Anolis sagrei: one gene and its partners. The protein of the gene in region 3 interacts with the protein of the main gene of each other region in a pairwise test. Links are inferred from orthologs where the notes say so. Each region holds a gene or a part of one and is shown on either strand. Other genes may lie near its edges. The genes, in order: RIC8A, GPSM3, GNAI1 and RGS19.

What was found.
Region 1: the proteins of GNAI1 (region 3) and RIC8A interact in binary tests that used the Homo sapiens proteins (3 or more experiments, as listed by UniProt). The link is inferred for Anolis sagrei from reciprocal best matches to the Homo sapiens genes GNAI1 and RIC8A.
Region 2: the proteins of GNAI1 (region 3) and GPSM3 interact in binary tests that used the Homo sapiens proteins (3 or more experiments, as listed by UniProt). The two-hybrid records come from large-scale screens. The link is inferred for Anolis sagrei from reciprocal best matches to the Homo sapiens genes GNAI1 and GPSM3.
Region 4: the proteins of GNAI1 (region 3) and RGS19 interact in a two-hybrid assay, tested with the Homo sapiens proteins (2 studies listed by BioGRID). The link is inferred for Anolis sagrei from reciprocal best matches to the Homo sapiens genes GNAI1 and RGS19.

The regions. Positions count from the first base shown.
Region 1 is NC_090021.1:237,757,202-237,764,739, reverse strand, and holds the start of RIC8A (synembryn-A), read right to left. Parts: upstream 3,006-7,538; 5' UTR 2,905-3,005; intron 1-2,904. Other genes in the region: BET1L (BET1-like protein), read left to right, coding at 5,027-5,045.
Region 2 is NC_090022.1:16,759,365-16,766,819, reverse strand, and holds the start of GPSM3 (G-protein-signaling modulator 3), read right to left. Parts: upstream 3,010-7,455; 5' UTR 2,903-3,009; intron 1-2,902. UniProt on the Homo sapiens protein: Interacts with subunit of G(i) alpha proteins and regulates the activation of G(i) alpha proteins.
Region 3 is NC_090025.1:87,691,124-87,698,855, reverse strand, and holds the start of GNAI1 (guanine nucleotide-binding protein G(i) subunit alpha-1), read right to left. Parts: upstream 3,017-7,732; 5' UTR 2,697-3,016; coding exon 2,579-2,696; intron 1-2,578. UniProt on the Homo sapiens protein: Guanine nucleotide-binding proteins (G proteins) function as transducers downstream of G protein-coupled receptors (GPCRs) in numerous signaling cascades.
Region 4 is NC_090024.1:237,536,873-237,544,100, forward strand, and holds the start of RGS19 (regulator of G-protein signaling 19), read left to right. Parts: upstream 1-4,216; 5' UTR 4,217-4,593; intron 4,594-7,228. UniProt on the Homo sapiens protein: Inhibits signal transduction by increasing the GTPase activity of G protein alpha subunits thereby driving them into their inactive GDP-bound form. Binds to G-alpha subfamily 1 members, with the order G(i)a3 > G(i)a1 > G(o)a >> G(z)a/G(i)a2.

The DNA of each region.
Region 1 (7,538 bases), on a different chromosome or scaffold from region 3:
GAGTTAGGCATGTTTAACCTGCAGAAGAGAAAGCTGAGAGGAGACATGATGAGGGACATGTATAAATAAGTGAGGGGAAGTCATAGGGAAGAGGGAGCAGGGTTGTTTTCTGCTGCCCTGGAGACTAGGATGGGCCAGAACCGCCCCATCCAGCCTAACATTTAGGAAATGGGTGAAGACGTGGCTGTGGAGTCAGGCCTTCGAGGAATGAGACAACACCATAGGACCCTGGATGGAAGTTGATGTAGATCCATCTTAATAGGACGACTGACCACAGTAGTTTTAGACATAGTGTTATTTTAAAGTTTTTTGTAATTGTGATATATGATATTTTAATGAATGTATATGTTTTTATGGCTGTAAACCGGGCTGAGTCCCTCAACGAGGTTGAGAAGCTTGGTATACAAAACTGTGAAATAAATAAATAAATAAATAGGATGTGGAACAATGGCTTCAAATTACAGGAAAGGAGATTCCATCTGAACATTAGGAAGAATTTCCTAGCTGTGAGAGCTGTTCAGCAGTGGAACTCTCTGCCCCGGTGTATGGTGAAGGCTCCCTCTTTGGAGGCTTTCAAGAAGAATGGGTCATCTGTTGAGATGCTTTGAATGTGATTTTCCTGCTACTTGGCAGGGGGTTGGTCTAGATGGCCCACGAGGTCTCTTCCAACTCAATCATTCTATGATTCTATGATCAACACTTTTGCATAAATTGGTACATATTCTGTAATTTGGTAATAGACTGAGCTTCCCTTATCCAAAATGTCTGAGGCTACAGTGTTTTGGATCCCCCCCCCCCCCCCCCAGATTTTGGGATATTTGCATATACATTTGATTAAGACATATATTAAGATGGGCCCAAAATCTAAACACCTAATTCATTTATACTTTATAGCAGGCATGGGCCAACTCCAGCACTCCAGGTATTTTGGACTTCAACTCCCACAATTCCTAACAGCCTACCAGCTGCTAGGAATTGTAGGAATTGAAATCCAAAACACCTGAAGGGCTGAAGATTGCCCATGCCTGCCTTATAAACATAGCTTGAAGATAATGTCACACATATTTTAAATCTGTTTGAAGTCTGTGTGCATTGAACTACCAAAAAGCAGAGATGCCAGTCTCTTGGCCATCTATTTTCAAATTTGGAGTATTTCAGAATTTCAGGTAAGAGATGCAACTCAGCAGGTGTATTTCCCCTATAGGGGTCAATATAAACATTGTTGAGTGCACTAGCAGAAACAGATATTCAGAAATTATTTAATATTTTACACAAGTCAAGCCTGGACTTGTTATGAACAAAAATGTAGGTCTGGAATCAGACCTGGGATGACAATAATAATAATAATAATAATAATAATAATAATAATAATGGGCTGTTGTAGGTTTTTTGGGCTGTGAGGTTAAGGATGCTTGCCACAGATGCAGGCAAAACGTCAGGAGGGAATGCTTCTAAAACATGGCCATACAGCTGAAAAACCTACAACAACCCAGTGATTCCAGCCATGAAAGCCTTCAACAATACAACAACAACAACAACAACAACAACAACAATAATAGCTTTATTTGTATTCCTAGAGAACTCAGGGCAGATTCCAACAACAGAAGGAAAACAAAACATTTAATGCCTATACAATAAGAATAACAAATACAAATGCATTAACAAACCGCCCAAATCCCAAAAAAGTGAATGTATATCACTTTAAAATGCACATAAATCAAGTTTACAACCACATATCAAATTAAACAAACAACTCACTTAAAATTAATTTAAATTATATCTAATATGAAAATATAACTCTGGCATCACAAAGAATTCACAAGAATCAATAATGTATTTAATTATTTACCCTATTTATATCATCTTTCTCTACCCCAAGGGGGATTGAAGGCAGCCAACATATGGTAATTATTCAATGCTTTAAACACATATTATTTATTTATTTGCAAAGGGGACTCAGAGCCACTTACAAGATATATATACATAAAATATATTGTATTATTAGCAAAGTACAATATCAATATTAAATATTACTTTATTGTACTATACCATTATACTGTAATATGATTAGTAATATTACATGTAATATAAATATATAATTATAATATATTATTATTAGTATTATATTGCAATACATTATAATATTATAAATATTATATGTATATACAATATTAAAATATTACTATATTGTACTATACCATTATATTGTAATATTATTAGTAATGTTACATGTAATATAAATATATAATTATAATATCATATTATTAATAGTAGTATTATATTGCATTACATTATAATATTATAAATATTATATGTATATACAATATGTTACATTATATTACATTATTAGCATAGCATAGGAGACATACAAACATTAAGCTTAAAATCCACTGAATTAAAATGAATACATAATTTAAAAATTTAAAAAATTACATTCAGCATTAAAATCACGCCATCCATAACATCTACACCGTAGAAATAATGCAGTTTGACACCACTTTAGCTGTAGTTTTATAAGGCTTCCTCTGCCTGGGAGTGCTGGTGCCTCATCAAACTACAACTCTCATGTTCCAGAGCATTGAGTGATGGCATTTAAGGTGGTGTCAAGCTGGATTTCTTCTAAAGTGTACGCGCATCCAAGGTTTCATTTAGCCAAGCCTTGTTTACATCCTCCAAAAACCCATTGGATTCCAGTCTTGCCCAGATATCTACCTACCTTTACAAAAGGGGAGTGGTTAGGAAACATTTCCCAATCTGGTTTCCTTAATCCAAGATACAAAGTGACATATTATGATCATCGTGATTGGGATCATATCAGTATGCAACCCTCCTCCCAGCAAGCCCAGCCACCCCATTTATTGGGGAACCCAAGGGAACCCCAGGAAGGGGAAGGGCGGCTTGTACCTTCCTTTGCAGCCGAGCTGCTTGTGGTGGGAAGTCAGTCTCTTCGCCTCATTCCCTGCTGCTGCCTCCTCCTTCCTTCCTTCCCCCAGGACAAGAAAGGGAAGCCAAAAGGAAGGAAAGGCAGCCAAGAGGGGGCGCCAGTTGCCGGAGGACACCAGCACTCTTTGGCAGAGGATGCTAAAGTCTGGGTTGCTGTGAGTTTTCCGGGCTGTAGGACCCATGTTCCAGCAGCATTCTCTCCTGACGTTCCCTCTGCATCTATGGCAGGCATCCTCAAGGGTTGTGGGGTCTGCTGGAAATTAGGAAAATGGGGTTTATATATCTGTGGATACTCCAGAGTGAGAGAAAGAACTCTTGTCTGCGTGAGGCAAAGCAGCCAGGCTTTGAAGCTGCAAGGCTATTCGATGCTAATCAAGCTGGCCAATTGCAACATTCACACTTGCATCAAAAAACGAGAGGAAACTAGGAAAATAGGGTTTCTGTGGAATGTCCAAGGTGGGAGAAAGAACTCTTGTCTGCTTGGGGCAAGTGTGAGGCAAAGCAGCCAGGCTTTGAAGCTGCAAGGCTATTTGATGCTAAACAAGCTGGCCAATTGCAACACTCACACTTGCCTCAAACGGACAAGAGGAAACTAGGAAAATTGAGTTTCTGTGGTATGTCCAAGGTGTGAGAAAGAACTCTTGTCTGCTTGGGGCAAGTGTGAGGCAAAGCAGCCAGGCTTTGAAGCTGCAAGACTATTCGATGCTAATCAAGATGGCCAATTGCAACATTCACCCTTGCCTCAAACAGACAAGAGGAAACTAGAAAAATGAGGTTTCTGTGGGATGTCCAAAGTGGGAGAAAGAACTCTTGTCTGCTTGAGGCATGTGTGAAGCAAAGCAGCTAGGCTTTGAAGCTACAAGGCTATTCAATGCTAATGAAGATGGCCAATTGCAACATTCACCCTTGCCTCAAACAGATAAGAGGAAACTAGGAAAATGGGGTTTCTGTGGAATATCCAGGGTGGAAGGTGGGAGAAAGAACTCTTGTCTGCTTTGTGTGAGGCAAAGCAGCCAGGCTTTGAAGCTGCAAGGCTATTCGATGCTAATCAAGCTGGCCAATTGCAACATTCACACTTGCCTCAAATGGACAAGAGGAAACTAGGAAAATGGGGTTTCTGTGGAATGTCCAGGGTGGGAGAAAGAACTCTTGTCTGCGTGAGGCAAAGCAGCTAGGCTTTGAAACTGCAAGGCTATTTGATGCTAATCGAGCTGGCCAATTGCAACATTCACACTTGGCTCAAACAGACAAGAGGAAACTAGGAAAATGGGGTTTATGTGGAATGTCCAAAGTGGGAGAAAAAACGTTTCAATGTTTCAATGGACTACCTTGGTTAGTATTCAGTGGCCTAGCTGTTTCAAGGTCTGGCTTCATACTGCCTGGGGGAATCCTTTGTTGGGAGGTGATTAGCTGGTCCTGATTGTTTCTTGTCTCCAGACAAGAAACTCCCCTGTTTTTGAGTGTTGTTCTTCATTTACAGTGCTGATTTTGTTAGGTACTGTTAGGAATTGTGGGAGTTGAAGTCCAAAACACCTGGAGGGCCCAAGTTGGCCCATGCCTGGTAGATGCACTCCAAGACAGGCAGGACAGAAGATATTTAGAGGGGGGGGGGGAAGAAACCAGATTTGTGTAAGGACAGAAGAGAAACCAAGAAACTTGGTTCCCCCTTTTTATAGTTTATTTTTTTTGTAATTAATTTGCCAAGAATGGGGCTGGACTGGATAGCCTCTAGGGTTCCCTTCCAGCTCTATCATTCTGTAAACCTTACAGAGGCAGCAACCTACGTCACAAACAGGGGCGGGGCCAATGCTCTTGGATGCCCGAGGCGGAGAATCCAAAGGGCAGCCACTTCCTGTTCCTGCCCTCAAGAAACATGGCGGCCCATTCCCACTCAGGGAGCATGCCCTCTGGAAAAATGGCGGTCTAAGCCGCACTCTTCCGCTCTCGGGGGAGGCGCTTATCCAATCCCCGCCCCACGGCCTCCTTGCCCTCTTCCCTGATTGGTTCGTTTGCAGATCGATTGCCCTCCTTGGCACCGCCTCTCGCCTTGGCTCCGGATGGGACACGGAGGCAAGAGGCAGCCATGGCGGATTGGGGCCGAGGTAGGAAGGGAGGGAGGGAGCGGTGTCTGAGGGGAGGCGGTAGGCCTCGGAGGGAGGAGGAGAGTGGGCGCCCTTCGTTCTGCCCTAGTTAAGCCTTCCCTTTGTTTTGGGGAGAGGGCCCTCCTTCCCGTTGAAGCAGGCCTGGGCAAACTTGGGCCCTCCAGGTGTTTTGGGCTTCAACTCCCACCATTCCTAACAGCCTGTAGGGCCGAAGGTGGCCCAGGCCTGCTTTAAATGGTTCTCCCCCCACGTCTCCTTTGTTTTCTTTCACAGAAATGCCCTTTGACAGCTGAAATAGTGAGTCAGGCACAGTATTGCCCATCTTAACTCCATAGCATTGAGTCATGGCAGTTGAATCTGTTTCAAACTGCATTAGTTCACAAGTGTAGACCCACTGAATAAAAAGAAAAGGAATTATTCATGCCGGAAATTCTTGAGACCAGAAGTATTTTGGATTGTGGCATATTCACCTATATTAAATTAGGTATCCTAGAGATAGGACTCAAAAGCTAAACAGGACATTCATTTGCTTCATTTGTATATATGTGTATATATGTTATTATACATTATTATTTGATACACAAAAAGATTAGTGCACAGCAAGCAAGAACGCTGTGCTGGCTTTTGTATTTGATTACACTTCAGACACATCCCAAGTATCTGTGTGATGTATTAGGAAATAATGTATGCAGAACCAGGTAGGGTGGCCTATTGCAACTGACAAATGGTAATATTGTAGGCGCCGACTGTTTTTAAGTGCAGGCCAAGGTATTTAGGCACTGTACCCAGTGTGCCGATCACCACTGGGACCACCTTTACTGGCTTGTGCCAGAGTCTTTGCATTCATTTATGATACATTATCATCATCATCATCATCATCATCATCATCATCATCATTAAGGAGCCCCCGGTGGCGCAGTGGGTTAAACCCCCCCTCCCCGTGCCGGCAGGACTGAAGACCGACAGGTCGCAGGTTCGAATCTGGGGAGAGGCGGATGAGCTCCCTCTGTCAGCTCTAGCTCCTCATGCGGGGACATGAGAGAAGCCTCCCACAAGGATGATAAAAACATCAAAATCATCCAGGCATCCCCTGGGCAACATCCTTGCAGACAGCCAATTCTCTCACAACAGAAGGTACTTGCTCCTGACACGACAAAAAAAAATCATGTTTATTTATACCCCATTTTATCTCTCCGAAGGCAACTAAAAGTGGCTTGACATTAACACATCAGCATAACCATTTAAAATATACAAGTATTGTTGTTGTTGCTATTATTACTTATATTACTTATATTATTACTTGTTACTTATAATATATTATTACTTTATCTCCCCAAAGGTGACTAAAAGCAGCTTGACATAAAAGCATCAGCATAATCTTTTACAAATATACAATTAGTATTATTATTATTATTGTGGTTATGTTTGTTTATACCCTGCTTTATCTCCCTTGAAGGCAGCTCAAAGCAACTCAATATAAAAGCATCAGCATAAACATTTACAAATATACAAACATTAAAACAGGATTAAATATAAACAGTATTCAAAAACTTTGCTTAATTTGTTGAGTCACTGGCTTATTTATTTATTGTTTATTCCTATCCTTACAATCAAAAGGAAGGCTACAAGTTAAGAATAACTTTACATAGCCTAAGAGTCCTTTCATAAACAGTTTTAAAGAATTTCAGGCATGCAGCAAAGTTCGTATATACTGATCCATCAGAAAGCAAATGTCTTGCTACTTTCTTATTTCAGTGGACTTCTGTCCTTCCCCAAAATGTTTGGGATGGCTGTGTTTTGGATTTTTTCAGATTCTAAAATCCTTGCCTATCAGTAATGAGACATCATGGAGATGTGACACCCACAACATTCATTTATGATTCATACATGCATATATAGCCTCAAGGTTGTTTTATATACAAAGATTTTTTTTAAAATAATTTTGTGCGTGAAACCAGGTTGGACATATTGAACCCTTAGAAAAAACAAAGATGTTACTTTCTCAGCCATTGTGCTGAGATTGGATTTGGGGATTTATGAATAAGGGATATTCCAACCCTGTATTTCCATTATTGGTTTCTCCATTTGTTCTGCTTTCATTTTGGGTGGTTATGTGTGGAAACTGATTTTTTTTAATACTGTTACATTTAATTCTGTTTTAATATTTGCATATTTTTATATTTAAAATTATGTGGTCATACTTTTAATGTAAGCCACTTTGAGTCTCCTTTGGGAGAGATAAAGCGGGGTATTGGTGAGGAGGAGGAGGAGGAGGAGGAGGAGGAGGAGGAGAAGAAGAAGAAGAGCAATAATAATAGTAATAGTAATAATGGTGGTTACATGGGGTTAAGCAAAGTTCTCCAATTATGGATCCTGGCTGGACAGCAGTAGAAAAAGAGTGTGGCATTAAAGAATATAAAATGGTTATATGAGACACTGTTTTTATTGAAATGCATGTAAACTACCAGCATGACTTTCTATGACGGCAATGGG
Region 2 (7,455 bases), on a different chromosome or scaffold from region 3:
GTAGCAATGAAAATAATATTATGGTTGGGGGTCACCACAACGTGAGGAACTGTATTAAGGGGTCGTGGCATTAGTAAGGTTGAGAAACACTGCCCTAAGAGGAAGGAGCTATTGAACCTACTTGGAATAAATCATTCCTAGAAACTTCTCACATGTCAGAGTCAGCTAGAAGCCACATGAATTGTGTGATCATCACCATTAGAAATATTTCAACGTTGCCAAAAACGTTGCAGTTGATGCTGACTCTGCACATGCTCAGAATCTCTTTGCTATGGCAAATAAAAGGCACTTGGGAAAAGAGATGTTTTGCAACCGCTTGGGAAGTCACAGAGTTCAAGGTGTTGCAAGCAGTGCCTCACATAAGGTATTTTTTCCTCCCCAGGCAGCAGGAAGCAACAGAAAACTCTCCTGTGGATTGCAATGCAACCGTTGTGGGTGAATATTTCACACTGTTGGACCCAACCAAGTGTGATATGAGTTGGTTACAAGGATGCAAATTGCCTTCACGGGGCAATGTCATGGAAGAAAAGGCTTTCACATTTTACCTCTGCCCACGACTGTTCATGGAAGGAATGTTCCTCTTAATGTCCATTTCCCCCCTTTATCATCCCGAATCACAAGCATGAAAGCCCCAAATCCAAGTGGAACCGTGGTGAAGCCAAAATGATTAAGCTCCCACCCACACACCATATATGCTTTAGAATTAATACAGTTGGACACCACTTTAATTGCCATGGGTCAATGCTATTGAATCCTGGAAGCCATAGTTTTACAAGACCTTTCGTCATCTCTGCCCAAGATAGCTGGTGATGCAACAAAATACAACTCACAGTGGTATCAACTTGTATTTGAGTGTTGCACCCCAGGCCTGAAGCCACCGATGACCACAGCACCACACAAGAGTCCTGAGTATAAGCAATCAGTTTACTGTAAAAATACATTAAAGGTATATGGAAAATTCAGGTCTAAGGAAATAAGGTGTATAATCCAAAAGGGTCAGCAATAGATGATAACTAAACAGGAATCCCCTTGCCACAATGCTTCAGAACAGATGTGCTTAGGATTTTGGGGTTTTTAGGGGGTTTGGAATATGGCCACTAAACCCAGTTTTAAATCATGAATTTTAAATTTATCATTATTGCATTGCAATATTTGTACCCTGCATTTTAATATGTGCATTTTATAGAAATGTGCTTTAATGCATGCATGTTATTGTATGGATTTTATGGGGATGCATTATGTGTTGTGTCCTGCATTGAGACATGAGGAGATGGGTAACAAATAACATTATTACTATTACTATTACTATTATTCTTAATATTAATATTATTAGAAACACAGCAGGATTAGTACGCAGCGCTGGTTGTCGTATTAGATCACATGTTGGACATTTCCCAATCAGTGAATAATGTGTTCGGATCCCAGTAGGGTGGCCTTTTGCAGCTGACAAATGGTAATTTTGTCAGCGTCGATTGTGTTTAAGTTCAGGCCAAGGCCTTTAGGCACTGCACCTTGTGTGCTGATCACCACTGGGATTATTATTATTATTATTATTATTATTATTATTATTATTATTAGAGCTGGCAAATTCCTTGCTCGGTGCATCAGGTCCATGATCACACCAAATATTGGAAATCACTCAGCAGCTTCCGGACAGCAATTTGCAAGAAGGCCTAAACTCAGAGAGATTTCTCAAAGGACCAAATGCTGAGCAAAAGTTTCAACATGATATTTATAGCATCAGATTTTCCCTTCATCAGCATACAAAGATCCTAACTGGTTATGTGTGAAATACTTGGGTGTTTTGTTTTTTTTTTGCTCAATATGAAAATGGTTACATCAACTAGTTGGCATTGCACATGCTTATTTCACTATATAGTGTCATATTACAATTTGCATACAATACCAGGCGGTGGGCCCCCTGATTGCACAAAGGTTTAAACCACTGAGCTGCTGAACTTGCTGACTGAAAAGTTGGCAGTTCAAATCTAGGGAGCAGGGTGAGCTTCCGCTATTAGGCCCAGCTTCTGCCAACCTAGCAGTTCAAAAACATGCACATGTGAGTTGATCAATAGGTACCACCTTGGTGGGAAGGTAACAGTGACCCATGCAGTCATGCTGGCCACATAGTTCAGAATGCTCTTTGATTAGGTGAACTATAAATCCCAGCAACTACAACTCCCAAATTATGAAATCTATCCCCCCCCCCCTCGCAACCCCACCAGTATTCAAATTTGGGCATATTGGGTATTTGTGCCTAATTTCATCCTGTAAATGAAAATACATCCTGCATATCAGATATTTACATTACGATTCAGAACAGTAGCAAAATTACAGTTGTGAAGTAGAAATGAAAATAATTTTATGTTTGGGGGTCATCACAACATGAAGAACTGTATTAAGGAGTCATGGCATTAGGAAGGTTGAGAACTACTGTCTTAGCTAATAAATAAAGCTCCAGTAGTTAAAAATAGAATGACATCAAATCATGGGAGTTGAAGTTTTACAAGGTCTTGATCCTTCTCCATCAGAGTGCTGGTGCCTCATCAAATGACAGCTCCCAAGATACCATAGCATTGAGCCAAAAAAACAAATAACTCATTATACTTCCACAACACCCAGCTACCTTGAGTGTATCTTCAATATAGAATGAATGCAGTTTGATGCCACTTTCACTGCCTTAGCTCAACGCTATGGAATCATGTAATTTGGAATTTGGTGAGGAACCAATACTCTTTGACAGAAAAGACTAAAGACCTTGTAAAACTACAGCTCCCTTTGATTCTATAGCATTGATCAAGTGGTAAAAGGGGCATCAAACTGCATTCATTCTATAGACTCACCCATTCTTGGCTACTGATCACTCCAGTCTTGGAAATCCCATTTTTACCATTGTGCTCACCTTTTGTGCCCCTCTCGTATTATTTCCACCACTGGCGCCTGTGCCAAATGACCATCTTCCTTCTCTTTTGTGTGACTGTTGCTTTGTCTTCAGGAGACTCAGCCTACTGTCACTTTTCTCCTTCCTTCTTGGTTTTGCTTGATCTGTTTGGCTGGCTACGCCTCTTATTTCTACACGGGAAGCTACTACCGCTTCCTGCTCTTGCTATATAGTATGTTTCTCACGCCAACTTTCTTTCTGTCTCTCTTCCCATTGGTCTCAAAACCAATGAGACAAGCGAAAGAGCCAGGTGTGTGAAGCTTTCTCAGAATGAAGTGACTTCACTTCAATGTATTGTCGAAGGCTTTCATGGCTGGAATCACTAGGTTCTTGTGGGTTTTTTCGGGCTATAGAGCCATGTTCTAGAGGCATTTCTCCTGACGTTTCGCTTGCATCTATGGCAAGCATCCTTAGAGGTAGTGAGGTCTGTTGGAATTAGGACAATGGGTTTATATATCTGTGGAATGGCTGGGGTGGGGCAAGGAGCTCTTCCCTGCTGGAGCTAGGTGTGAATGTTTCAACTGATCACCTTCACTTCACTTCGCTTCACTTTATTTCTTAATTAGTCGCTCTCCAGCAAGGTGGTCTGAGCGACTTACAATTTAAAATAGCATCTCTTCATGACCTCATGGATCAGCCTGGTTGTCATAATCTTGGTTTTTTAAATGTTTAACTGCAACCCAGCTTTTGCACTTTCTTTTTTCAGCTTGGTTAGAAGGCTCCTCATCTTCTCCACTCTTTCAGCCTTCAAAATGGTATCGTCTGCATATCTAAGGTTGTTAATGTTTCTTCCAGCAATTTTAACTCCATCCTTGGATTCATCAAGCCCTGCAAGTTGCATGATATGTTAAGTAGGGTGGGTGAGAGTAGACAGCCCTGCCATACTCCTTTCCAAATCTTGAACCATTCTGTTTTTACTGTTGCTACATAGTTGTTATACAGATTCCTCAGGAGACAGACAAGGGTACTTGGTATCCCCATACCATCAACTTGCCACAATTTATTATGATCCACACAGTCAACACTTTTAGAATAGTCAATAAAACAGAAATAGATGTTGTTCTGAAACTCCCTGCCTTTCTCCATTATCCAGCGGATAATAATAATAATAATAATAATAATAATAAGAAGAAGAAGAAGAAGAAGAAGAAGAAGAAGAACTCCTGACCTCACAATTGTGTTAAAAAACAAAGTATGGATTGTCGATGTTGCAATCCCAGGTGGCAGCAGGAGTGAAGAGAAACAACTGGAAAAGCTGACACGATATGAGGATTTAAAGATTGAACTGCAAAGACTCTGGAACAAGCCAGTAAAGGGGGTCCCAGTGGTGATTGGCACACTGGGTGCAATGCCTAAAGACCTTGGCCTGCACTTAAACACAATCGGCACTGACAAAATTACCATCTGCCAGCTGCAGAAGGCCACCTTACTGGGATCTGCACACATTATTCGCCGATACATCACACAGTCCTAGACAATTGGGAAGTGTCCGATGTGTCATCCAATACAACAGCCAGCAGAGTGTCTGCTGTGGACTCATCTTGTTGTGTTTCAAATAATAATAATAAATATAATAATAATTAATATAATAATTAATATAATAATAATAGCATCAACAAAAACAATAAATATAGCTGTATTTTATCAAGCAGACAAGAGGTCTTTCTCCCTCCCCAGACATCCCACAGGTATATCATCTGGGGAGGCCCTGCTCTCAACCCCGCCACTATCACAAGTGAGGTTGGCGGGGACGAGGAGCAGGGCCTTCTCAGTGGTGGCCCCTCACCTGTGGAACTCACTCCCTGGGGAGATTAGATCAGCGACTTCCCTTTTGACGTTCAGGAAAAAACTGAAGACCTGGATTTGGGACCAAGCCTTTGGACATTCTGGCAGCTAAAGAATCTGACGATAAATAAGGACAGATGCAATGGAATAGATATACGGACTCTGAACACTGAGCATGAGATTGTTTTGCTATGTTATTATGTATTGATGTTTTTAATTTGTTAACTGTTTGAATTGTTTTTCTGTATTATTTGTTAGTTGATTCAGGCATCGAATTGTGCCTTCGTCTGTAAGCCGCCCTGAGTTCCCCCTTGGGGTGAGAAGGGTGGGGTAAAAGTAATTGAAATAAAATAAATAAATAAATAAACCTCATTTTCCTAGTTTCCAACAGACCTCATAACCTCTGAGGATGCCTGACATAGATGTGGGTGCAACGTTGGGAGAGAATGCTTCTGGAACATAGCCAGACAGCCAGAAACCTCACAGCAATCCAGTGATTCTGAAGACCCATGAAAGCCTTCAACAACAGAATAATAGCATCTTTTGCTTGCAGCTCAGAGCGAAGTACTACAGGGTTAAAACTGAGAATAAAAACCTTCATTCAGTGGAGGAGACATGCTTAAAACAGGCATGCGATCAATCCCATGCCATATCAGCAACAGGATAAACACTGGAAAACTGTTTTCTTATAAATGCCAGATAATCTACATCTCTGCTATGACTGGCAGGACCTCCAGCAAAATATGAATGACGCTGGACCACTTCATCGCTGCTATGCAAAGTACCAAGATCCTGATGTTGATCAAATTATTTTGACACCCAAGGCGTAAATTCCTACAAACATCTCTCCCTTGGAGGTGATTTGCAACACAGTGCAAATCAATGTAACCAGTTGCAATTTGCTGCCCTCTCATGACTTGTAGGAGTGTTGGCCTCAGGCATCCACTTTGCTCTGTCAGATGGCACAGCTGGACCTGCTGACTGCCTGGCACAGGCACCCTAGGGTTGTGCCATCACCCGGGGCCCCGTAGTTTTAGCAGAGCAAGCTAAAGACTATGAATTCAGGACTTTCTGCAGGAGGAGCATTTGTCCTGCCAGCAAGCCAATATCTGCTCCTGGAACCAAGTTGGTTAAAAACATGCACACATAATTATAGTCCCAATTTAAAGATCCTCTTGGCTTAATCTTTGTTGGACCTCCAGTTAGGGTGCTCAAGGGCCAGGGCTTCCCAGTTCGCTGTGTCTATGCCAGTTTTTAAAGGTTAGCTTTAAGCCCATTTTAAAATCTCTTTTCCTGTCCACCAACATTATGTTTTTCATTCTTCAGTTGGGAGTATAGTAACTGCTTTAGGAATGGAGCCTCCAGTGGTGCAATGAATAAAATCCTTGTGCTGGCAGGACTGCTGACTGACAGGTCAGTGTTCGAATCCAGGAAGAGCGGGTTGAGCTCCCTCTGTCAGCTCCAGCTCCCCATGTGGGGGACATGAGTGAAGCCTCCCACAAGGATGGTAAAACAACAAACATCCAAGATTCTCCTGGGCAACGTCCTTGCTGACGGCAAATTCTCTCACACCAGAAATGACTTGCAGTTTCTCAAGGCGCTCCTGACACAAAGTTTCTCAAGTTGCTTCTGCTTTGGGAGATGGTGATCTTTGGGCATTTGGACAACGTGGCCACGCCAGCAGAGTTGATGGCATAGGAGCATCATTTCAGTGCTGGTGATTTTGCTTCTTCCAGCATGCTGACATTGATCTGCCTGTCTTCCCAAAAGATTTGCAGGATTCTGGAGATAAACAGCTGCAGAAAGCAGCTACGCAAAGATTTGCCCATTTCATCATGGCTATTTCCCAATATGGCCTGATTTTCAGAATAGCAGCTCAGAACATTGAAATCTATCTTCTGCCAAAATACCTAATGGAAGTTAAGTCTCCAGAATCTGAAATAATCCACAAGGGTAGCTGAGAGAGTGATGCCTTTGCTTTCTAATGGCTCAATGAGCACTAACTTTGTTTAGTGCACAAAATTATTAATATTATTGGGTACCACACTGCCTTTCTGTTAAGTGTATAGGTATATATAAAAAGCATAAGTAAATCCACCCTCTGTATCCAGGGATTCTGCAGCTATAGATTCCATAATCCACAACTTGAAAACATATTTTAAACAATCCAAAAAGCATACTTTGATTTTGTAATTTTAGATTAAAATCATAGAATCAAAGAGTTGGAAGAGACCTCATGGGCCATCCAGCCCAACCCCATTCTGCCAAGAAGCAGAAAAATTGCATTCAAAGCACCCCCGACAGATGGCCATCCAGCCTCTGTTTAAAAGCCTCCAAAGGAGGAGCCTCCACCACACTCTGGGGCAGAGAGTTCCACTGCTGAACAGCTCTCACAGTCAGGAAGTTCTTCCTAATGTTCAGGTGGAATCTCCCTTCTTGTAGTTTGAAGTCATTGTTCCATTGCTTCCCATTCTCCAAGACAGCAGAAAACAAGCCTGCTCCCCCCCCCCCCCCCGTATGACTTCTCCTCACATATTTATACATGGCCATCATGTCTCCTCTCAGCCTTCTCCAGGCTAAACATGCCCATCTCTTTAAGCTGCTCTTCATAGGGCTTGTTCTCCAGACCCTTGATCGTTTTAGTCGCCCTCCTCTGGACACATTCCAGCTTGTCAACATCTCCCTTCAATTGTGGTGCCCAGAATTGGACACAGTATTCCAGATGTGGT
Region 3 (7,732 bases):
GTTTGGCCTCATGTAAGCCGCACCAAGTCCCTTGGGGAGATAGTAGCCGGGTACAAATAAAGTTTATTATTATTATTATTATTATACATGGCTATCATATCTCCTCTCAGCCTTCTCTCCTTCAGGCTAAACATGCCCAGCTCCTTAAGCCGCTCCTCATAGGGCTTGTTCTCCAGACCCTTGATCATTTTAGTGGCCCTCCTCTGGACACATTCCAGCTTGTCAACATCTCCCTTCAATTGTGGTGCCCAGAATTGGACACAATATTCCAGGCGTGGTCTAACCAAAGCGGAATAGAGGGGTAGCATTACTTCCCTAGATCTAGACACTATGTTCCTATTGATGCAGGCCAAAATCAGGTGCTCTGCTATGGCTGATTTCTCTGGTTGAAGTAGTCTGTTGTGCCTTTCATGTTCCTTGATTCGTGTTTGGGCGATGCTGCGTTTGGTAGCATGACTTCCCTGGATCTAGAGTTTTGGAGTTGGTTCCCATCTCTATGCAGATGACACACAACTCTACTACTCTTTTCCACCAAATTCCAAGCTCCTTAAGTCGGGTGCTGGACGAGTGTCAGGGTAAACAAGCCCAGCTTTTTAAGCCGCTCCTCATGGGGCTTGTTCTCCAGACCCTTAATCGTTTTAGTCGCCCTCCTCTGGACACATTCCAGCTTGTCAATATCTCTCTTCAAATGTGGTGCCCAGAATAGGACACAATATTCCAGCAGTGGTCTAACCAAGGTGGAATAGAGGGGTAGCATGACTTCCCTGGATCTAGACACTTTGCTATCCGGAGTTTTGGAGTTGGTTGCCATCTTTATGCAGATGACACACAACTCTACTACTCTTTTCCACCAAATTCCAAGGAAGCCCCTCGGGTGCTGGACGAGTGTCAGGCTAAACATGCCCAGCTCTTTAAGCCGTTCCTCATAGGGCTTGTTCTCCAGACCCTTAATCGTTTTAGTCGTCCTCCTCTGGACACATTCCAGCTTGTCAATATCTCTCTTCAAATGTGGTGCCCAGAATGGGACACAATATTCCAGGTGTAGTATAACCAAGGAAGAATAGAGGAGTAGCATTACTTACCTAGATCTAGAGTTTTGGAGTTGGTTGCCATCTCTATGCAGATGACACACAACTCTACTACTCTTTTCCACCAAATTCCAAGGAAGCCCCTCGGGTGCTGGACGAGTGTCAGGCTAAACATGCCCAGCTCTTTAAGCCGTTCCTCATAGGGCTTGTTCTCCAGACCCTTAATCGTTTTAGTCGCCCTCCTCTGGACACATTCCAGCTTGTCAATATCTCTCTTCAAATATGGTGCCCAGAATGGGACACAATATTCCAGGTGTGGTCTAACCAAAGCAGAATAGAAGGGTAGTATTACTTCCCTAGATCTAGAGTTTTGGAGTTGGTTGCCATCTCTATGCAGATGACACACAACTCTACTACTCTTTTCCACCAAATTCCAAGGAAGCCCCTCGGGTGCTGGACGAGTGTCAGACTAAACAAGCCCAGCTCTTTAAGCCGCTCCTCATAGGGCTTGTTCTCCAGACCCTTGATCATTTTAGTTGCCGTCTCTGGACACATTCCAGCTTGTCAATATCTCTCTTGAATTGTGGTGCCTAAAATTGGACACAATATTCCAGGTGTGGTCTAACCAAAGCGGAATAGAGGGGTAGCATGACTTCCCTAGATCTAGACACTATGCTTCTATTGATGCAGGCCAAAATCAGGTACTCTGCTATGGCTGATTTCTCTGGTTGAAGTAGTCTGCAGTGCCTTTCATGTTCCTTGATTCGTGTTTGGGCGATGCTGCGTTTGGTAGCATGACTTCCCTGGATCTAGAGTTTTGGAGTTGGTTGCCATCTCTATATGCAGATGACACACAACTCTACTACTCTTTTCCACCAAATTCCAAGGAAGCCCCTCGGGTGCTGGACGAGTGTCAGGCTAAACATGCCCAGCTCTTTAAGCCGTTCCTTATAGGGCTTGTTCTTCAGACCCTTGATCATTTTGGTCGCCCTCCTCTGGACACATTCCAGCTTGTCAATATCTCTCTTGAATTGTGGTGCCCAGAATTGGACACAATATTCCAGGTGTGGCCGAACCAAGGCAGAATAGAGGGGTAGCATGGCTTTCCTGGATCTAGAGTTTTGGAGTTGGTTGCCATCTCTATGCAGATGACACACAAATTTACTACTCTTTTCCACCAAATTCCAAGGAAGCCCCTTGGGTGCTGGACGAGTGGCATGCTAAACAAGCCCAGGTCTTTAAGCCGCTCCTCATAGGGCTTGTTCTCCAGACCCTTGATCATTTTAGTCGCCCTCCTCTGGACACATTCCAGCTTGTCTTCAAATGTGGTGCCCAGAATTGGACACAATATTCCAGGTATGGTCTAACCAAGGCGGAATAGAGGGATAGCATGACTTCCCTGGATCTAGATTGATGCAGGCCAAAATCCCATTGGCATTTTTTGCCGCCACATCCCATCAATTCCGCAGAGGAAGCATCCAACCCCCAACCAACCTTGGTCTTGGAGGAAAGGGGGAAAGCCAAGCCAGGCGAGAAGGGAGCCACCTTACCCAGGAGGAGCAGCTTGACTTCCCGCGCCGCCTTCTCTCCGTCCTCCCGCAGGTTCCTGTCGATCATTTTGCTCCGCTCCACCGCCGCCTTGTCCTCGGCGCTCAGCGTGCAGCCCATGGTCCAAATACAAACACCAAGAGGCCGCCCTTTCCAAACCAACAAAGCAGCTGAAGTCCTTGGAGGGGAGGCGAGGGGAGGGGAGGGGGGTGCTCAAAAGTGCCCAGTGACTGAGTCAGAGAAGCCAAACGGGGGAAAGTGAGGGAGGGGGGGGCGCCGTCTCCTTCTTTCGGTTTCCCTCACACACGACGTTGTTGTTGTTTTGGGGTGTTGCGGGAGGGAAACCCTCCTCCCCTCACGCGCAGCACCAGCAGCAGTGCCGCCTCTATATCTCACGCGCCAGTCCGCCCGCGAGCGCGAGCGCCGAGCCTCCCTCGAGAGCGCGCGCGCGCCCGTGCCAGAGGGAGAAAGTGAAGAGCGACGGTTAGGCGTGCACTGCGCATGTGCGAAGAGGGGGGCGGGGGACGCCTGGACCTCTGCCACTTTTGGGAGTGGAGTCGACAACAGAGAGGCGGAGGGGAGCGCTCCTAGAGCGGTGGGCTTTGGACTAATTTTTCACTCCTTCACTGCAGTGTGAATCAAGGAGCCTAGAATCATCTTCTTCTTTCTATATAAATAAAAATGTAATGTTCGTTTGTGGGATTAACAGAACTCAAAAACCACTGGAAGAATTGACACCAAATTTGGACACAAGACATCTAACAACCCAATGTATGTCCTTCACTCAAAAAAAAATGATCTTGTCATTTGAGAGTTGTAGTTGCTGGGACTTATAGTTAACTTACAATCAAAGAGCATTCTGAACTCCACCAATTATGGCATTGAACCAAACCCGGCACACAGGATTCCCATGACCAACAGAAAAGACTGGAAGGGTTTGCTGGGCATTGATGTTGAATCATAGAGTTGGAAGAGACCTCATGGGCCATCCAGTCCAACCCCCTGCCAAGAAGCAGGAATATTGCATTCAAATCACCCCTGACAGATGACCATCCAGCCTCTGTTTAAAAGCTTCCAAAGAAGGAGCCTCCACCACACTCCGGGACAGAGAGTTCCACTGCTGAACGGCTCTCACAGTCAGGAAGTTCTTCCTCATGTTCAGATGGAATCTCCTCTCTTGTAGTTTGAAGCCATTGTTCCACGTCCTAGTCTCCAAGGAAGCAGAAAACAAGCTTGCTCCCTCCTCCCTGTGGCTTCCTCTCACATATTTATACATGGCTATCATATCTCCTCTCAGCCTTCTCTTCTTCAGGCTGAACATGCCCAGCTCCTTAAGCTGCTCCTCATAGGGCTTGTTCACCAGACCCTCTTCTTATATAAATAAAAATGTAATGTTCATTTGTGGGATTAACAGAACTCAAAAACCACTGGAAGAATTGACACCAAATTTGGACACAAGACACCTAACAACCCAATAAATATCCTTCACTCAAAAAATTGATTTTGTCATTTGGGAGTTGTTGCTGGGATTTATAGTTCGCCTACAATCAAAGGGCATTCTGAACTCCACTAATGATTGAATTGAACCAAAGGTGACACACAGGACTCCCACGACCAACGGAAAAGACTAAAAGGGTTTGCTGGGCATTGACCTTGAGTTTGGGAGTTGTAGTTCACCTACATCTACAGAGCACTGTGGACTCAAACAATGATGGATCTGGACCAAACTTGGCACAAATATTCCGTATGCCCAAATATGTACTCAGGTGGAGTTTTTTTTTTTTTGGGGGGGGGGATAGACTTTGGCATTTGGTAGTTGTAGTTACTGGGATTTATAGTTCACCCACAATCAAAGAGCATTCTGAATCCCACAAATGACAGAATTGGGGCAAATTTCCCACACAGACACAAACAATTATGGATCTTCACCAAACTTTACACAAATACTCAAGATGCCCAAATGTGAACACTGGAAAATAGAATCTTGCAGTTGCAGTTGCTGGGATTTATAGTTCACCTAGAATCACAGAGCATTCTGAACCCCACCAATGATAGAATTGAACCAAACCTCCCACACAGAACCCCCATGACTACCAGATTGGGCCACAGCAACGCATGACAGGGGATTATTGCAATATAGATTTATAAGACAAAGGATTCTTGTCTGCTGGAGCTAGGTATGAATGTTTCAACTGACCACCTTGATTAGCATACAATGGGCTGACTGTGCCTGATGTGGTGGCAAAACAAGCCAATGGGATTTTGGCCTGCATCAATAGGAGCATAGTGTCTAGATCTAGGGAAGTAATGCTACCCCTCTATTCCACTTTGGTTAGACCACACCTGGAATATTGTGTCCAATTCTGGGCACCACAATTCAAGAGAGATATTGACAAGCTGGAATGTGTCCAGAGGAGGGCGACTAAAATGATCAAGGGTCTGGAGAATAAACCCTATGAGGCTTAAGGAGCTGGGCATGTTTAGCCTGAAGAAGAGAAGGCTGAGAGGAGATATGATAGCCATGTATAAATATGTGAGAGGAAGCCACAGGGAGGAGGGAGCAAGCTTGTTTTCTGCTTCCTTGGAGACTAGGGCGCAGAACAATGGCTTCAAACTACAAGAGAGGAGATTCCATCTGAACATGAGGAAGAACGTCCTGACTGTGAGAGCCATTCAGCAGTGGAACTCTCTGCCCTGGAGTGTGATGGAGGCTCCTTCTTTGGAAGCTTTTAAACAGAGGCTGGATGGCCATCTGTCAGGGGTGATTTGAATGCAATATTCCTGCTTCTTGGCAGGGGGTTGGACTGGATGGCCCATGAGGTCTTTTCCAACTCTTTGATTCTATGATTCTATGATGTATGGAGCCCAACTCAGTCCCTTCTCAAACTATGCCCCTCTGCAGCAAGTACAATCAAAATTTCTAAGATCAGCGATGCAGCTCCCCCTGCAACTAGAGACAGGCCTCGTGAGAGTGGAGGCGAGATTGTGGACAGCCACCCTCAATTATTGGCTGCATCTGTCTTTCTCAACATGTGGACTTGCTCCATTAACTCTGAGAGATGAATTTCAGTCTACATGGAATAAGGTAGAGGCAGTCAAAATTGCAACTCTAGGCTTCTCTCAAGGACAACTGCTAGGTATGGGATGGGACCAAGCCAAGGATCTTATTAGAAAATGGATCCAGGATATAGAGCGACAATCAGACTTAGCCTGCTCTCCAGCATTCACCATTAGCGAAGATAGCAGATATCTCATCGCTCCCATGGCTTACTTAGCAAACCTGGAGGTGCCTAAACACTGAAGAGCTTTCGCTTTGGCAAGATGCCATGCCCTTCCATTGGCAGTACTGGAGGGGAGGTACCGGAAGACCCCTGCCCAGGAGAGACTATGCCCGTGCGAGTCTGGCTATATTGAAACAACTGAACATGTGCTCCTCCAATGTGCATTCTATAGAGACATTAGAGCTAATTTCATCACTCCATGGCTTTTAAAACATCCACGGCGCACCGAAAGATATTACACCTCCCTGTTGCTCTCGGACTCTTGCTCTGCGACAACCTACAGTGTTGCCAAGTTCTGTGCAGCAGCAATTAACATTAGACGGCTGATGACCGACTCCACCAGGCAACTTCCTGCCGGGAATATAGTTAGAATGATTTTTAATAACTGAAATGCTGTAAATGCTCCGCTCTCATCCCTTTTTAGAGCTTCCTAGTTGTCTGATATTTGTATTAGCCGCCCCCCTATTTTAGATTCATACATGCACTTTAAACTGTAAATTTAGTCTGCTTTTTAATCTGCGTCTTTTATAACATGTTTTTAATCTGCTTTTTATCTGACCTACTTGGGAACTGCGATTCCCTTCCTTGGGCTCCTGTGCCCCATTCTATTCTGTGCTGGTCAAAGACCGTAATAAATCATTGATTGATTGATTCTATGACACGTTCTATGTATCAACAGCAAATAATAGTAGCAGGCCACTTTGAGAAATGGGGAGGGGGTGACACATTCAGGAGCTGGTAAGTCCCTTTGTGACAACATTCACTTTTCTAAACGTTCATCTTTGCCCATGATTTGACAATTAGAAAACTGGGCCATGTTTGGGGAAGCAGTTGCCAATTGCTGAGCCTTCTCTAAGGCAATAACTGAAGCAATGAGTCACCTTGTCAACAGGTTTGCTGTGGAAAGAGTTGCCTACTGTCATTTCTGCCAAACAGTTTAAAGTATTCCAAAGAGATATGGACAACTCTAATGTAAATTATATGGGGAATATGTGGGAATAGTATATCATAACATCATATGTGGGATAACATATCATATCATAGAATCATAGAATCAAAGAGTTGGAAGAGACCTCATGGGCCATCCAGTCCAACCCCCTGCCAAGAAGCAGGAATATTGCATTCAAATCACCCCTGACAAATGGCCATCCAGCCTCTGCTTAAAAGCTTCCAAAGAAGGAGCCTCCACCACACTCCGGGGCAGAGAGTTCCACTGCTGAACGGCTCTCACAGTCAGGAAGTTCTTCCTAATGTTCAGATGGAATCTCCTCTCTTGTAGTTTGAAGCCATTGTTCCGCGTCCTAGTCCCCAAGGAAGCAGAAAACAAGCTTGCTCCCTCCTCCTTGTGGCTTCCTTCACATATTTATACATGGCTATCATATCTCCTCTCAGCCTTCTCTTCTTCAGGCTAAACATGCCCAGTTCCCTAAGCTGCTCCTCATAGGGCTTGTTCTCCAGACCCTTGATCATTTTAGTCGCCCTCCTCTGGACACATTCCAGCTTGTCAATATCTCTCTTGAATTGTGGTTCCCAGAATTGGACACAATATTCCAGAGGTGGTCTAACCAAAGCAGAATAGAGGGGTAGCATTACTTCCTTAGATCTAGACACTATGCTCCTATTGATGCAGGCCAAAATCCCATTGGCTTTTTTTGCCGCCGCATCACATTGTTGGCTCATGTTTAACTTGTAGTCCACGAGGACTCCAAGATCTTTTTCACACGTACTGCTCTCGAGCCAGGCGTCCCCCATTCTGTATCTTTGCATTTCATTTTTTCTGCCAAAGTGGAGTATCTTGCATTTGTCACTGTTGAACTTCATTTTGTTAGTTTTGGCCCATCTCTCTAACCTGTCAAGATCGTTTTGAATTCTGCT
Region 4 (7,228 bases), on a different chromosome or scaffold from region 3:
ATAAATAAAAAGGTAAAGGTTTCCCCTGGCATACAGTCTAGTCGTGTCTGACTCTGGGGATGGTGCTCAATTCCATTTCTAAGCCAAAGAGCCTGCATTGTTCATAGATACCTCCAAGGTCATGTGGCCAGCATGACTGCATGAAGCACCGTAGCCTTCTCGCAGAAGCGGTAACTATTGATCTGCTCACATTTGCATGTGTTCAAACGGCTAGGTTGGCAGAAACTGGGCCTAACAGTGAGAGTTCACTCCGCTCTCCGGATGTGAACCGCACACTTTTTGGTCAGCAAGTTCAGCAGCTAAGTGGTTTAACCCGCTGCATCACCAAGGGGGCCCAAGTAGATAAATAGGTACCGCTTAATTTGGAAGGTATATTACATGGCACCATAAGGAAATATATATATATATGAAATGCAGGCTATTCAATCAAAGGAGGAAGTCTGTGGACAGGGCTCTTTGGCATATTGGATGGAGCAAGAGCACCCCCTGTGGCCAGAATCGAGCACAACCTCCAAGATGCCGAAGATGGGAAAGCCATATATACCTCTAGGAGCCCTCAGTGGCAAAATGGGTTAAAGTGCTGAGTTGCTGAACTTTGTGATCGAAAGGTTACAAGTTTGAATCCGGGGAGCGGTGTGAACTCCCGCTGTTAGCCCCAGCTCCTGCCAACCTAGCAGTTTGAAAACATGCAAATGTGAGTAGATCAATAGGTACCGTCTGCGGGAAGGTAATTGTGCTCCATGCAGTCATACCAGCCAACATGACCTTGGAGGTGTCTATGGACAACGCCGGCTCTTCAGCTTAGAAATGGAAATTTATTTATTTATTTATTTAGAACTTTTATATACCGGTCTTTTATATACCGGATGTTCTTGTACAATCTCAAAAGCCCAGCAGCTCTCCCAACTAGGTATGAAAAGGGTTCTCCATCCTTGATCCAAGATTAAGATCCAAGACAACTCAGAAGCAAGTCCAAACGGCAGAGGGAAAGTGCCTGGCCATGCAGGAGTAACTTCCCATGGAGAGATAAGGGGGGAAGGGAGGGAGGGAGGGGGGAAGGGAGGGAGGGAGGGAGGGAGGCAGGAAGGGGAAGGGGAAGGGAAGGAAGGAAGGAAGACAAGGTTAGACCACATCTGGAATATTGCGTCCACTTCTGGGCACCATTATTGAAGGGAGATGTTGACAAGTTGCAATGTGTCGAGGAGGGCGACTAAAATGATCCTTAGTCTTCCATCTAAGGCTAAGAGCCCTTCTACACAACCATATAACCCAGAACATCAAGGCAAATAATCCACAATATCTGCTTTGAGCTGGATTATCTGAGTACAGATTGCCATATAATCCAATTCAATGTGGATTTTATACAGCTGTGTGGAAGAGGACTCAGCCTCCAAGATCAGATGGGATCTGCTGCCTTTCGGGTATTGTAGACCCATCATTCATTCATTCATTCATTCCAGAAGTGTATTGTTTCTGTAGGGATGGTTCCACTAGGCAGGAGGCCCCAGGTTGTTGGCATGTCGGACATTCATATTGCTTTTGCAAGAAGAAATCTGTTTTGGAAGGGGGAAAACCCATTTGAAGGAAGATGCTGATAAGATGGAATGTGTCCAGAGGAGGGCGACTAAAATGATCAAGGGTCTGGAGAACAAGCCCTATGAGGAGCGGCTTAAAGAGCTGGGCATGTTTAGCCTGCAGAAGAGAAGGCTGAGAGGAGACATGATTGTTGTTGTTCATTCGTTCAGTCGTCTCCGACTCTTCGTGACCTCATGGACCAGCCCACGGCAGAGCTCCCTGTCGGACATCACCACCCCCAGCTCCTTCAAGGTCAGTCCAGTCACTTCAAGGATGCCATCCATCCATCTTGCCCTTGGTCGGCCCCTCTTCCTTTTGCCTTCCACTTTCCCCAGCATCATTCCCTTCTCTAGGCTTTCCTGTCTCCTCATGATGTGGCCAAAGGACCTCAACTTTGTCTCTAGTATCCTTCCCTCCAGTGAGCAGTCGGGCTTTATTTCCTGGAGGATGGACTGGTTGGATCTTCTCGCAGTCCAAGGCACTCTCAGAACTTTCCTCCAGCACCATAGTTCAAAAGCATCGATCTTCCTTCGCTCAGCCTTCCCTAAGGTCCAGCTCTCACATCCGTAGGTGACTACAGGGAATACCATGGCTTTGACTAGGCGGATCTTCGTTGCCAGTCTGATGTCTCCACTCTTCACTATTTTATTGAGATTGGACATTGCTCTCCTCCCAAGAAGTAAGTGTCTTCTGATTTCCAGGCTACATTCTGCATCTGCAGTAATCTTTGCACCTAGAAATACAGTCTGTCATGGCCTCCACATTTTAGACATAATAGCCATGTATAAATAAGTGAGAGGAAGTCACAGGGAGGAGGGAGCAAGCTTGTTTTCTGCTGCCCTGGAGACTAGGACACGGAACAATGGCTTCAAACTACAAGGAAGGAGATGTCACCTGAACATTAGGAAGAACTTTCTGACTGTGAGAGCCGTTCAGCAGTGGAACTCTCTGCCCTGGAGTGTGGTGGAGGCTCCTTCTTTGGAAGCTTTTAAACAGCCCTATGAGGAGTGGCTTAAAGATCCCTATGAGGAGTGGCTTAAAGAGCTGAGAATGTTTAGCCAGAAGAAGAGAAGGCTGAGAGGAGACATGATAGCCATGTATAAATATGTGAGAGAAAGTCATAGGGAGGAGGGAGCAAGCTTGTTTTCTGCTGCCCTGGAGACTAGGACACGGAACAATGGCTTCAAACTACAAAAAAGGCGATTCCACCTGAACATTAGGAAGAACTTTCTGACTGTGAGAGCTGTTCAGCAGTGGAACTCTCTGTCTCAGAGTGTGGTGGAGGCTCCTTCTTTGGAAGCTTTTAAACAGGGGCTGGATGGCCATCTGTCAGGGGTGATTTGAATGCAATATTCCTGCTTCTTGGCAGAATGGGGTTGGACTGGATGGCCCACGAGGTCTCTTCCAACTCTTTGATTCTATGATTCTATGAAATACAAGGTATGGATAAGGAAACAAGCCAAACCCTTCTTGGGCTTCTAGAGAGCAAACCCTATACCTTATTTGTTGCAACATGGAAGTTGTGCTCCCCATGCTCTATTCTGCTTTGGTTAGACCACACCTGGAATATTGTGTCCAATTCTGGGCACCACAATCCAAGAGAGATATTGACAAGCTGGAATGTGTCCAGAGGAGAGCGACTAAAATGATCAAGGGTCTGGAGAACAAGCCCTATGAGGAGCAGCTTAAGGAGCTCGGCATGTTTAGCCTGAAGAAGAGAAGGCTGAGAGGAGATATGATAGCCATGTATAAATATGTGAGAGGAAGCCACAGGGAGGAGGGAGCAAGCTTGTTTACTGCTTCCATGGAGACTAGGACAAGGAACAATGGCTTCAAACTACAAGAGAGGAGATTCCATCTGAACATGAGGAAGAACTTCCTGACTGTGAGAGCTGTTCAGCAGTGGAACTCTCTGCCCCGGAGTGTGGTGGAGGCTCCTTCTTTGGAGGCTTTTAAACAGAGGCTGGATGGCCATCTGTCAGGGGTGCTTTGAATCCAATAGAATGGGGTTGGACTGGATGGCCCATGAGGTCTCTTCCAACTCTTTGATTCTATGATTCTAATGGCTTCAAACTACAAACTACTGAACATTAGGAAGAACTTTCTGACTGTGAGAGCTGTTGAGAAGTGGAACTCTCTACCCCAGAGTGTGGTGGAGGCTCCTTCTTTGGAGGCTTTTAAGCAGAGGCTGGATGGCCATCTGTCGGGGGTATTTTGAACGCAATTTTCCTTCTTCTTGGCAGAATGGGGTTGGACTGGATGGCCCACGAGGTCTCATAGAATCATAGAATCAAAGAGTTGGAAGAGACCTCATGGGCCATCCAGTCCAACCCCATTCTGCCAAGAAGCAGGAATATTGCATTCAAACCACCCCTGACAGATGGCCATCCAGCCTGCCATGAAGCAGGAATATTGCATTCAAATCACCCCTGACAGATGGCCATCCAGCCTCTCTTCCAACTCTTTGATTCTACAGAAAATCTGTCAGGAGATGCATTGCAGAGGTGAGTGTGTTTCCCCTCCTTGGACTCCTCTGGGCTGCTGTTGCAAGCTGCATGAAGGCTCATCTTCTCTTTTTTTTTTTTTTTCCCCGCCTGGGATTGCCTTGCAACCGGGGAAAGGCCGAGGAAAGCAGCCAAGCGGAGGTGGGCAGAAGGAAGACCTTCTCCTTTTTTCCCCCCTTCTCGCCCAGATCCTGCCAAATATAAATAAATAAAGCGGAGCAGGCAAGGAAGTGCAAAAAAACAGCCCTTTGCTTTCGGAAGTCAATCGCCGGGGCTGGGGGACGCCTGCGCAGTGGAGAGACCCTGCCAGCCAGTATTTTTCTTCCCCTTTTTTTGATTTTTTTTCCTCTCTCTCCAAGTGGCTTCCCCACCTCCACCTCTTCCTCCTCCCTTGGCACCCCTTCTTCCTCCCCAAAAAGGGAGCTAAAAAAGAAGAGGCGGCGGAGGAAAAAAATAGGGGATTGGAAAGGGAAAAAGGGACGGATGTGCGGCAGGGATCTCGGATGCACCAAACGTGAGTCCCCAAAACCCCCTGAGTTTGGGTTGAGTGCCTTTGCCAAAAGGGACCTCCATTGGAGAGGGCAACTCTGCCCAGGATTGGGCAAAAGGGAGGGGGGTGAGGGGGGGGAGGGAGGTGTTTCCTTGGGAGTGAAATCGGATCCAACCTGGCTGAGGCTCCCTCGCCTTTTCCTCAGTTTCCTGTGCTGCTTCTCCTGCTTTTCCTCTCCTTTTTGGATGAGGTTTGGCTACATCTGTATCTTGGGAAGGGACCTGGGCCCTTTGGCAAAGCCGAGGGGAAGGGGAGAAGGGGCCGAAGGAGAAACAGTCTTGCAAAGGAGAGATATATTCACAAATGTATTAAATTTAGGAAGGGAAAGGCAGGCGCGTGTTGTCGGGTGAATGCATCAAGTGTGCGGCCGGATTGCAATAGAGGGGAAACAGGGAGGGAGAGCTTGCTGGCGTGGAATGGGAGAGGAAGACCTGGGTTTGGGGTCTCCCCTTGAACCCCCCTCCTTCTCTTCTTCCTGAGGTTCCTACCAGGTAGGAAGAAGGCATGCCATGGTCTGCAAGGCTGGCTCCTAATGAGAGCCATGTGCCAGGTTTGGCCAAAGAGGCTCAAGGCAAAAAGGAGAGAGATGTTTGGGGCGATGGCAGAGCAAGGCGTTGAGTGCCATTAAGATCCCTTTGGGAGGAACCCCATCAGGGCAACCAGTTTCTTCCTCTTGAAGGGTCACCTTTCTTGTACCCCAAACCTTTTATTCAGGTGGCTTCCTTTCCTTGCCTCTTGGAGGGCAATACCTGGGGACCCACCAGATCAAAGGCTGCCTGAGGCTTCACAAGGCCAGTCGCAGGAGTTTTGGTCTTGCAAATCCATCTCTTTACAACAGTAGGGCCTTCCACACAGCCCTCTATCCTGGAATATCAAGGCAGGAAATCCCACATTATCTGAGTATGTACTCAGATAACGCAGGACCCTTCCACACAGGATATCATGGCAGGAAATCCCACATTATCTGAGTATGGACTGAGAGAACGCAGGGCCCTTCCACACAGCCCTATATCCCGGAATATTGAGGCAGAAAATCCTACATTATCTGAGTGAGGACTCAGATAACGCAGAACAGCCTTATATCCTGGAATATCAAGGCAGGAAATCCCACATTATCTGAGTGTGGACTGAGCTAACGCAGGGCCCTTCCACACAGCCTTATCTCCCAGGATATCAAGGCAGAAAATCCCACATTATCTGAGTGTGGACTCAGATAACACAGAACCCTTCCACACAGCCTTATCTCCCAGGATATCAAGGCAGGAAATTCCACATTATCTGAGTGTGGACTGAGATAACACAGGGCCCTTCCACACAGCCTTAGATTCTGGAATATCAAGGCAGGAAATCCCACATTATCTGAGTGTGGACTGAGATAATGTAGGACTCTTCCACACAGCCCTATATCTCGGAATATCAAGGCAGAAAATCCCACATTATCTGAATGTGGACTGAGATAATGCAGGACCCTTCCACACAGGGTATCAAGGCAGGAAATCCCACATTATCTGAGTGAGGACTCAGATAATCCAGGCCCCTTCCACACAGCCCTATATCCTGGAATATCAAGGCAGGAAATCCCACATTATCTGAGTGTGGACTCAGATAACGCAGGACCCTTCCTCACAGGATATCAAGACAGAAAATCCCACATTATCAGCGTGTCGACAGATAACACAGGGCTCTTCTACACAGCCCTATATCCCAGAATATCAAAGCAGGAAATCCCACATTACATGAGTGTGTACTCAGATAACGCAGGGCCCTTCCACACAGCCCTATATACTGGAATATCAAGTCAGGAAATTCCACATTATCTGATTGTGGACTGAGATAATGCAGGACCCTTCCACACAGGATATCAAGGCAGGAAATTTCATATTATCAGAGTATGGATTGAGATAACGTAGGGCCCTTCCACATAGCCCTATATCCCGGAATATCAAGGCAGAAAATCCTACATTATCTGAGTGAGGCCTCAGATAATGCAGAACAGCCTTATATCCTGGAATATCAAGGCAGGAAATCCTACATTATCTGAGTGAGGACTCAAATAATGCAGAACAGCCTTATATCCTGGAATATCAAGGCAGGAAATCCCACATTATCTGAGTGTGGACTCAGATAACGCAGGACCCTTCCACACAGGATATCAAGGCGGAAAATCCCACATTATCAGCGTGTGGAGAGATAACACAGAACCCTTCCACACAGTCCTATAGCCCAGAATATCAAAGCAGGAAATTCCACATTACATGAGTGTGTACTCAGATAATGCAGGGCCCTTCCACACAGCCCTATATACTGGAATATCAAGACAGGAAATCTCACATTATCTGAGTGTGGACTCAGATAACGCAGAACTCTTCCACACAGCCCTTTATCCCAGAATATCAAGGCAGGAAATCCCACGTTATCTGAGTGTGGACTCAGATAATCCAGTCCAAAGCCGATATTGTGAGATTTTTTGCCTTGATATTCCTGGGATATAAGGCTGTGTGGAAGAGCCCCCAGTTCCAAGCAGATATTGTGGGATTTTCTGCGATATAGGACTGTGTGGAAGGGCAGCCCGGAAAACTCACAACAACCCAGTGTGTGG